Linked DNA regions of Arabidopsis thaliana. The protein of the gene in region 2 binds, or shares a complex with, the protein of the main gene of each other region. Each region holds a gene or a part of one and is shown on either strand. Other genes may lie near its edges. A codon is read from its position in the direction of its gene.

Evidence for each region.
Region 1: the proteins of AT5G66900 (region 2) and EDS1 are in contact, whole or in part, in a cryo-EM structure (PDB 8YN1), measured with the Arabidopsis thaliana proteins. Residues at the interface, in NP_201491.1 of Arabidopsis thaliana: Glu798, His801, Asn802, Leu803; in NP_190392.1 of Arabidopsis thaliana: Arg383 (codon at 1,472), Glu416 (codon at 1,373), Phe419 (codon at 1,364), Lys420 (codon at 1,361), Val423 (codon at 1,352), Glu427 (codon at 1,340).

What each region holds. Positions count from the first base shown.
Region 1 is NC_003074.8:17,754,807-17,759,997, forward strand, and holds EDS1 (alpha/beta-Hydrolases superfamily protein), read right to left. Parts: upstream 3,342-5,191; 5' UTR 2,887-3,341; coding exon 2,569-2,886; intron 2,493-2,568; coding exon 1,761-2,492; intron 1,665-1,760; coding exon 1,584-1,664; intron 1,488-1,583; coding exon 747-1,487; 3' UTR 523-746; downstream 1-522. Other genes in the region: AT3G48080 (alpha/beta-Hydrolases superfamily protein), read right to left, coding at 22-339; RR5 (response regulator 5), read right to left, coding at 4,306-4,480. UniProt on the Arabidopsis thaliana protein: Positive regulator of basal resistance and of effector-triggered immunity specifically mediated by TIR-NB-LRR (TNL) resistance proteins.
Region 2 is NC_003076.8:26,714,187-26,719,757, reverse strand, and holds AT5G66900 (Disease resistance protein (CC-NBS-LRR class) family), read left to right. Parts: upstream 1-1,799; 5' UTR 1,800-1,856; coding exon 1,857-2,643; intron 2,644-2,733; coding exon 2,734-3,137; intron 3,138-3,246; coding exon 3,247-3,599; intron 3,600-3,681; coding exon 3,682-3,878; coding exon of another isoform or gene 3,879-3,913; exon of another isoform or gene 3,914-3,994; coding exon 3,995-4,827; 3' UTR 4,828-5,035; downstream 5,036-5,571. Other genes in the region: AT5G66910 (Disease resistance protein (CC-NBS-LRR class) family), read left to right, coding at 1-213, 308-507, 588-1,420; AT5G66890 (Leucine-rich repeat (LRR) family protein), read left to right, coding at 5,375-5,571. UniProt on the Arabidopsis thaliana protein: Probable disease resistance protein.

The DNA.
Region 1 (5,191 bases), on a different chromosome or scaffold from region 2:
AAGAAGCTTTTGTTTACTTACAGAAGCATGAAATGAGGTTCTTGGACCAATGAGAACTTCAAGTGACTTGAGGAAAGCTTCGTTAACAGTAGTGTCAACGTCGTTGCCGATGCTTCTCATACAAGGAAATTGATTACGCTTCATCTTTATTTCTCCAAAGGGAGATGTATTCTCCGTAGCGAACAAATCTTCCGACGAGAAAGATGCTCGGAAGGCGAAAAAAACGGTTCCTCCTACTTCTTCTTTGAGATAGTGCTCCGTTTGGTTAGCTCCCTTCGACGCCATCCATGATATGGTGACTAGATCACCGTTGACTCCCGTAAGAGCTTCAAACGCCATTTCTCTTTTCTTGAGTGGACTTTCTTCTCTTTTTTCTTTTGAGTCGTCTTGATTCTTAGTCCTCCTACTCTGTTAATATAGTAGGAAGATGTAGACAGGAGTAATTACCCAAAATACCCCATCATGAGACCATTTCAATCTAAGGAAGGTTGTTTGTTACTGGTTCATGCTATTTGAGATGGCTTTAGGCTTTAGTAGAGTAACGTATATATTCTAAGATCACTGTAAAGTGGAAACCAAATTTGACATTAGAATAGAGAGCTATTACATTACTTCACAATGATCATACAACATGTTTCTTATTCTAAGATCATCATGAAGTGGAAACCAGATTGATAAACATTTCTTATTGCACAAATTAAGAGAAGCAAGTGTTCTAATAGCTTAAATACTCCACCACCTAAGGTTCAGGTATCTGTTATTTCATCCATCATATAGTCTCGCAGAGGAGAATGCGATTTGTGATTTTTGGGAAGCGTAATCCACCACTTTCTAAACGTTGAACCCTCCAGAAATATTTCCTTATCATCTACCTCCCCGTCTGTGATCCATTCTCCAAGCATCCCTTCTAATGTCTTAACTCTTACCTCAACTTCCTCGTATGGCTTTCCTTTGAGTTCTTCAACCTCAGCCCAAAAGCATGATCCGCACTCGGATCCCGAATTCTTTAGAGTCTCTTGAATTTCTTCTAGCTGTAACCCTAAGTTAAGACCATTTACCTTGTTCCAAAATACATCTTCTGCAATCATTCCGTTTGGCTTCAGTATATAATGTTCGTAGCCTCTCTGAGCATATATGTAGCGGGTTGGTCTTCCTCTTTTCATGTACGGCCCTGTGTCTTCGTTCTTTAAATGTCGATGGTAGTTTGCAATATCAAGAGGCTCAACTAATCTGCGGTATCGAGTTGCTAACTTGATCCAATCTATGTCCCCTTCGAACTCATCTGGAAGTTGACATTTCTTCATTAAACCAAGCACCTCGTCAAAAACACCGGCTAACTCAGCTCTCTTGACGTTTGCTTTGAAGTCATTCTCTTCATTTGAAACTTTGAAGGAATCATAATACCCATTTTTATGGGCTTGACACTTTGGCTTGTATTCATCTTCTATCCATGCTAGTTTCTTTAAAAACCTCTCTTGCTCGATCACCTAAAAACCACAGAACCAACAAGTTTTATGTTGTTAGACACAAACAGACGAAGCACGTACCTGCATTATTCATGAACAAGCTTATCAACCACAAACCTGAATAATCTTCTTCTGATTCTCTACTCGTTTCTTCTCTTCCTCTAATGCAGCTTGAACGTACTGTCTGCCTCTTGTGCTCTGCAGAAAAAGGAAACACTCTGAAGGGTTTAAATGATTGCAAGAATGGAGCTATGGAGCTGCACAGTATGAAAAGAGAGAGAGAGAGAGACTTACCACTCCAAGGTCATTGAGCGTAGACTCTATTGAGTTTTCTCCATCCAAATGATTAAACAACTTCTTTCCCATCGACTGTACCAGTTCCTCATAGCTATGATGATCTCTGATACTTCGAAATGGAATTAGAGACCATTCTTGTTCATCGCTGGCTTGAGAAGTGTAAAACAGCATTTGAAGAATGGCGTCCGAGTTGTTCACTGCAACCAATCTCTTCTCTGTAGAGAAAACAAAAGTACCGGCGGGTCTATAAGGACTTAGCTCAAGGAAACTAGAAAGGGTCTCTAAAAACGCCTCTGCGCTTCCAGTCAATTCACAAACAGCTTGGTTTGCAACAGTTGATGTGTCTCGCATCACCCTTGTGTAAAACTCTGTTATTCTCTGTTCACTCTCTTGGACGGAAGACTTTCTGGGATCCAATTGGGCAAGAACATGAGGCAAAGTTTCCTCTACAGACGCCTTTCGAGCAAGCATAATCCGAGGGACAATATCGAATCTTGAGACAAAGTTCACAAAGAACCGGCTCCATTTTTCTCTCCCAAGTGCGTGACTGAAGATAGAGTCACCAACCAAAGGAGCTCCAAATGTCACACAACGAGGCTCAAGGTAAACATTTGGATTGCGTATGAAGTATTTCTCCAAATACCAAACTGTTGCTAAGATTGCAGTTGCACCTCCTGAGGAATGTCCTGTGAACACTATCTGTTTTCTACTCCTCACAGCCATTTCCACCTGAAGAAGTAAAAGCATAAGAGACCAAAAAAGAAAAAAAAAGAAAAATATATTCGGATGTTTTCAATCTTCTTACAGAAGCTTGAAATGAGGTTCTTGGATCAATGATAGCTTCAAGATTCTTGAGGAAAGCTTCGTTAACAGTAGCTACATCACCTTTACCGATTTTCCTCATACAAGGAAACTGAACACGGTTCAACTTGATTTCTCCAAAGGAAGATTTATTGTCCGGATCGAAGAAATCTTTCTCTGAGAAAGATGGTTGGAAAGCGAAGATTACGACTGCTCCTGCTTCTTCCTTGTGATAGCGCTCGGTTAGGTAAGCTTGCTTCGAGGCTGACCATGATCTGGTGATTAGATCACCATTGATTCCGGTAAGAGCTTCAAACGCCATTGATCTATATCTATTCTCTTTTCTTTAGTGGACTTTCTTCTCTCTTTTTTCTTTTGAATCGTCTTGCTTCTTTAATCCGCTCCTACTCTGTTAATTTATGGGAAGATGTAGACAGGACTAATTAGTTACCCAAAATACCCCATCATGAGACCATTTCAATGCAAAAATGGGTTTTTTTTTTTGGAGTTGACTCTTTGGCTATTGGAGACTCATGAAGAAAGAAAAGCTAGGAATCTTAGCTTTCCACGTGTCGGTTTTACATTGGTGTATGGCTTTGTACATCCGACATGACTGGAGTTTCGCAGAAACTTTCATAAACATTCACATTTGGTCGGAAAGTTTTCTCTGTGTAATCTTTGCTTGGAAATTTTGTAGCTTGACTTTGGAGTCTTCGTCTCTTTAATATAGACTCCATCTTTTGGTTTGAGATGTCACTCTCGGTTGGGATTTCGCAGTAACTCAATGATATTCACTTTTTTGTCGGAAAACAATTTTGTTGTTTAATGAATGAGGAGATTTGTTCGCTTGGAGTTAAGTTTTTGTAGCTTGACTTGGGTTTTCAGATTTGGTCTCGTATAGAAGAAATCTACTACTTTAACTCTGTTTTGCTTATAAATCTTATCCGGAAAGTAAACCGGATAATCTACAAGATATGGAACCGGTTCGATTTCTCTCAGCTGAATATTAACCGAATTAACTAACTACACCTTCTTGCCTGGTCCGTTTTTGCGTTCGGCAAGACGCGTCACATTCGACTTTTACTTGTTTGATTATGAAGTTACATGAACCGGACTAGAAAAATTTAGTTTGTTTTTTTGGCTAAACCAAATTGCATAACCATATTTTGCTTTCAGATAGAATGAAAAAGCCTAGGAGACTAAATTAACAAAAGAAACAAAAAAAAGTCTAGGAGACTAGAATTTTCTTGGTCTTAATAAAACCCAACTTGGGGAAATTTCTACGAAAAGCCATGTAAAGTGTTCCAACCAACGCTTAAAATAACTAACTTATCTCGCTGGATTCGATTCATGTAGACAGCTTTATTTTAATTAGACAAAAGATTAGCTTGTCTTCGTGTAATGAACGGTACTAAACTACTAATCCATTCCTAAATCATTATTTAAGTAATCTTAACAAAAGAAATTCATATGTTAACTTCCAAAATAACACACCACCATTTTACATATCTCTCATGTAAAGAAAAAAAAAATGTATCTCTTCTCCTCTCTAATGAATCCAAGTCTACAATTTACATTTCTATCTTATAAAAACCCATCTTTGTCACTCTTGATCAGTCTTGGTTCTATCAGCAAAAGAAGCCGTAATGTCTCAAAAATTGTAAGCCGAAAGAATCAGGACATGCATGTGTGTGAATCTTTGAGCTTTTAAAGAACATATCGTACGTGGAATCTGATAAACTCAGATCTTTGCGCGTTTTAGCTGCGAGTAGATATCATTAGCTTCAAGCTCTCTCTTGTGCATAATATTCTTAAAAGCTCTTTCCTCAGCTTTCATTAAAGAATCTCTTAATCTCTTCACATCAGCTAATTTCACAGGCTTCAATAAGAAATCTTCAGCTCCTTCTTCAAGACATCTGAATAAATATAAGGAACCAAATGTTAGTGATCTAATTCCATAAAGTTTATAACTTTGGATACAGAAAATGGCCAGCTCATATATGATAATCATTAAACTTAATCTGGTAAAGAGGGTTTGGTTCCTTAGTAATAAGCAAAGGCATGTGAGGTGTCTATCACGAGGATTGGGATTTTATAAATGACCCTACCTAAGATTATGCAACCCAAACAATTAAAACATATATTATAAAGTTTTGGAGGGCCTAACATGTCACCGGCTTATATAGAATCAAATCTCAAGAGAAGATCTTGCTTAACTTATGATGGATTATTCTTTTCTAAATTTATGGCCACAAGATAAATTTTATTATTCCTAAGATCCATTTTAAAAATCATTTTAGGACCCACTAAAATAAACACCAAATCTCAGCTTGATCAAATATACAACCACCACCAAAGTTAACCCCATGATAGTTAAAAAGTAATCATATAATAACCTTTTCTATCATAACAAAATCTTGTGATTATACAACAATTTAATTTAGTCAATACATATCCTTTAACGGTAACTTTATCACAAATCCTAAATTAGTGTGATTACTTTAAAAAGTTTCCTAAACAAACAATACCCTCTAAATCTAATCATCCCCATCTCCTGAAGTAATAAATGCACAAAATCTACTATATTTGGTAAATTTTGGTCCTACATAATCTTGACCTAAACAAGA
Region 2 (5,571 bases):
ACGTCTGCAGCCTAGCTTCAATGTCCTGAAACCTCATCTTAAAGAGTGTTTCATGGACATGGGTTCATTTCTTCAGGACCAAAAGATACGTGCTTCGCTTATAATTGACATATGGATGGAATTATATGGTAGAGGTAGTTCTAGTACTAACAAGTTCATGTTATACCTTAATGAGCTTGCTTCCCAGAATCTGCTTAAACTTGTTCATCTCGGGTACGTTGGTGTTGTTTTTTACAACATTTGTTTCATTGCACCTTCTTGCCATCTACCATTTGATCATGAACTTATTTGTTTTACTTACTACCAGGACAAATAAGCGCGAAGACGGTTTTTACAATGAGTTGTTAGTCACTCAACATAATATTCTGAGGGAGTTGGCTATTTTTCAAAGTGAATTGGAACCAATCATGCAAAGAAAGAAACTAAATTTGGAGATACGAGAGGACAACTTTCCGGACGAGTGTTTAAATCAACCTATTAATGCTCGACTTTTGTCTATCTATACGGGTAATTCTTTAAGATCCTCTTCTTCTTTTTCCCCTGAAAATCATGCATAGAAATATGACCACCTTTTTTTTTTGTTACAGATGATTTGTTCTCATCGAAATGGTTGGAAATGGATTGCCCCAATGTTGAGGCTTTAGTTCTTAATATCTCCTCATTAGACTATGCATTGCCAAGCTTCATTGCTGAAATGAAGAAGCTAAAGGTTCTGACAATCGCAAATCACGGTTTTTATCCAGCAAGATTGAGTAATTTCTCGTGTCTCAGCTCATTACCAAACCTGAAACGGATTAGATTTGAAAAGGTTTCAGTCACTTTGCTGGACATTCCTCAATTGCAACTCGGCAGTCTCAAGAAGCTATCATTTTTCATGTGTAGTTTCGGTGAGGTTTTCTACGACACAGAAGATATAGATGTCTCTAAAGCTCTATCGAATTTACAAGAGATTGACATAGACTACTGCTATGATCTTGATGAGTTACCATATTGGATCCCCGAAGTTGTTTCATTGAAGACACTTAGCATCACAAACTGTAACAAGCTCTCTCAACTTCCAGAAGCTATAGGGAACTTGAGTAGACTAGAAGTGTTGAGGATGTGTTCTTGTATGAATCTCTCTGAGCTGCCTGAAGCAACTGAGAGACTCAGCAACTTGCGGTCTCTGGATATTTCTCATTGCTTAGGATTGAGAAAGTTGCCTCAAGAGATTGGCAAACTACAGAAACTGGAGAATATCTCGATGAGGAAGTGTTCGGGATGCGAGTTGCCGGATTCAGTGAGGTATCTAGAGAATCTGGAGGTCAAATGCGATGAAGTAACTGGATTGTTGTGGGAAAGGTTGATGCCAGAAATGAGAAATTTGAGAGTTCACACGGAGGAAACAGAGCATAACCTGAAGTTGCTTCTAACGTTTTAAGTTTTGAGTGAAAAAAAAAACATTTTCGTAGCTTGTGTATTCTTATTGACTCTTTAATGATCACAATCTAGACTAAACGAGTAATAATATTACAAGAGTCAACATGCTATGTCTCGGGTTTGATACTAGTTTATTGCTCTGTAATGAAATTACTAACCACGCTGTATCATTGTATGTACTAGTGATTTTAAATTATGAGCTTTTCAAATACGCATGTTATATTGGGCCGTAGAAACATAAAGGCTTAATTTGAATAAGCCGCTTTGAAAAAGGCCCAATCTAAGAAAGGCATACTCTCGCACGTACGAGGAGAGCACGTTCCGTCTATCGAACAACGTGTGGTTAACGTAAAAGACCAAACGCAAACGCAGTCGTTTTCCTTGGTCATTGCGCGGCAAGGGACCGAGTCTGAGAAGTCAAAGGCGACAGCTTTGCTATGCAATTCGTCTCCTTCGTCTATCTACATTTTTATGAACCACACATTGATATTTCAGTGATCCCCTTTTTCGATTTTCAGCGATTCTACAAACAAGTTTTTTTTTTTTTTTTGGATTCTGGGTTTTGTCTGAGAAGTGAAAGAATGAACGATTGGGCTAGTTTGGGAATAGGTTCTATTGGGGAAGCTGTGTTTTCCAAGCTCCTGAAAGTTGTGATTGATGAAGCAAAAAAGTTCAAAGCTTTCAAACCCTTGTCCAAGGATCTCGTATCAACAATGGAGATATTGTTTCCGTTAACTCAAAAGATTGATTCGATGCAAAAAGAGCTTGACTTTGGTGTAAAGGAACTAAAGGAACTTAGGGATACGATCGAAAGAGCTGATGTAGCTGTTCGGAAGTTTCCAAGAGTCAAGTGGTACGAGAAATCTAAATATACTAGAAAAATTGAGAGAATCAATAAGGATATGCTTAAGTTCTGTCAGATTGATCTTCAGCTTCTTCAGCATAGGAATCAGTTGACGTTGTTGGGTTTGACGGGAAACCTTGTGAATTCGGTTGATGGTTTAAGTAAAAGAATGGACCTTTTGAGTGTTCCTGCGCCTGTTTTTAGGGATCTTTGTTCGGTTCCCAAGCTTGATAAGGTTATTGTTGGATTGGATTGGCCATTGGGGGAGTTAAAGAAGAGACTCCTTGACGATTCTGTGGTTACTCTTGTGGTTTCTGCTCCTCCTGGTTGCGGGAAAACCACGCTGGTTAGTCGGCTTTGTGACGATCCAGATATCAAAGGTATGTATTGTTGATCCACATTAAGTCTTAAAGTTTCAATTTTTACTCGTGAATAGTTGAGCTGGTTTCTCATGTAGTTTCCTTTGGCAGGGAAGTTCAAGCATATCTTCTTTAATGTTGTGTCAAATACTCCTAACTTTAGGGTAATAGTACAGAATTTACTCCAGCACAACGGTTACAATGCACTTACATTTGAGAATGATTCTCAAGCAGAAGTTGGCTTAAGAAAACTGCTGGAGGAACTTAAAGAAAATGGTCCTATATTGTTGGTGTTGGATGATGTGTGGCGGGGAGCGGATTCTTTCCTTCAGAAATTTCAAATTAAGTTACCAAATTATAAGATTTTGGTGACTTCTCGGTTTGACTTTCCGAGTTTTGATTCCAATTATCGTTTGAAACCTTTGGAAGATGATGATGCTAGAGCCCTTCTCATTCATTGGGCATCGCGACCTTGTAACACGTCTCCTGATGAGTACGAAGATCTCCTCCAGAAGGTTGTTGTTTCATTCATCTAGATGAACCTCTATACATTTGTGATCTACGAAATCTGTAACTATATCAATAGATTCATCTTTTTCTTTTTTCACATGGTGAGTATTGCAGATATTGAAACGTTGCAATGGATTCCCAATCGTAATTGAAGTAGTGGGTGTTTCACTCAAAGGACGATCTCTAAATACATGGAAAGGTCAGGTGGAAAGCTGGTCTGAAGGGGAAAAAATTCTTGGTAAGCCTTATCCAACTGTGCTAGAATGTTTGCAGCCTAGTTTTGATGCTCTGGATCCCAACCTTAAGGAGTGCTTTTTGGACATGGGCTCATTTCTTGAGGACCAAAAGATACGTGCTTCGGTAATAATTGATATGTGGGTGGAATTATACGGTAAAGGTAGTAGTATCTTGTATATGTACCTTGAAGACCTTGCCTCCCAGAATCTACTTAAACTTGTTCCTCTCGGGTATGTTATTTATGTTTCAAATCTATATCTTTGCACCTTCTTGCCATCTACCATTAGTGGAACTTATTTATTTCTTTATCAGCACAAATGAGCACGAAGACGGTTTCTACAATGACTTCTTAGTGACTCAACATGATATCCTTAGGGAGTTGGCTATCTGTCAAAGCGAATTTAAGGAAAACTTAGAAAGAAAAAGACTAAATCTGGAGATACTAGAGAATACATTTCCAGACTGGTGTTTGAATACTATTAATGCCTCTTTATTGTCTATCTCTACGGGTAATTCTTTGGGGTCTTCTTTTTCTGAAAATTAAACTTAATGATTATACAAATCTCTGCTGTTTCTAGAAATATGACTTCTCTATAACTATGATTGGTCTCTCTTTTTCTTACAGATGATTTGTTCTCATCGAAATGGTTGGAAATGGATTGCCCCAATGTTGAGGCTTTAGTTCTAAATCTCTCTTCATCAGACTATGCATTGCCAAGCTTCATCTCTGGAATGAAGAAGCTGAAGGTTCTGACAATCACAAATCACGGTTTTTATCCAGCAAGATTGAGTAATTTCTCGTGTCTCAGCTCATTACCAAACCTGAAACGGATTAGATTGGAAAAAGTTTCAATCACTTTGCTAGACATTCCCCAACTGCAACTCAGCAGTCTTAAGAAGCTGTCTTTGGTCATGTGTAGTTTCGGTGAGGTTTTCTACGACACAGAAGATATAGTTGTCTCTAATGCTCTATCGAAATTACAAGAGATTGACATAGACTACTGCTATGATCTTGATGAGTTACCGTATTGGATCTCTGAAATTGTTTCATTGAAGACACTTAGCATCACAAACTGTAACAAGCTCTCTCAACTTCCAGAAGCTATAGGCAACTTGAGTAGACTAGAAGTGTTGAGGCTGTGTTCTTCTATGAATCTCTCTGAGCTGCCTGAAGCGACTGAGGGACTCAGCAACTTGCGGTTTCTGGATATTTCTCATTGCTTAGGATTGAGAAAGTTGCCTCAAGAGATTGGCAAACTGCAGAATCTGAAAAAGATCTCGATGAGAAAGTGTTCGGGATGCGAGTTGCCGGAGTCAGTGACGAATCTAGAGAATCTGGAGGTCAAATGCGATGAAGAAACTGGATTGTTGTGGGAAAGGCTGAAGCCAAAAATGAGAAATTTGAGAGTTCAGGAGGAGGAAATAGAGCATAACCTGAACTTGCTTCAAATGTTTTAAGTGAAAGAACGTTATCGTAGTAGCTTCTGTGGATCTTGTAATGTTTGTTATTCATTATTTTCGTTGTTATATACATTATAATGGCTACTGAGTCCAAGTACAGAGAAAATGTCATGCCAAAGAATTTTGTGTAGGTCAATCTTTTAAAACCATTTAAGAGTACTACTAAATCCTTGATCCTTATCTAACTTGAATAGATTTGAACAGAGTTATTCACCAACATTTTTGACAAACTATAAATGTAATATTCAACATTCTTAATGTTAAAAATATAATGTTGGTAAATTCTTTGAAAATCCTAAAATGTGAAGTCAAGTCTCCTTTTTCCTTTGCTAGCTAAACTTCTGTTCTGGGATTCAAACAATGGTTTGTTTGAAACTTCAAAGTACCGCGTGACTTTTCCGTTATAAATTTGATCTAATGGCTTTTATGAAGAGTCACGTTTTTTATAATCAAAGAAAGAGTCGGTCAATAGATTAAAATTTCTCTCAAATTGCTTGGTTTTCATCTTAATTCATAATTCTCCTCTCCCTTCATAGGAACCATTATGAATTCGAATTCGATTCAAAGCTTTGATGCCTTGCCCCACAATCTTCGAGAGTGTTTCTTGGACATGGCCTCATTTCTTGAAGACCAAAGGATAATAGCTTCCACTATAATTGACTTATGGTCTGCATCATACGGTAAAGAGGGTATGAATAACCTCCAAGATCTTGCCTCTCGCAATCTCCTTAAACTTCTTCC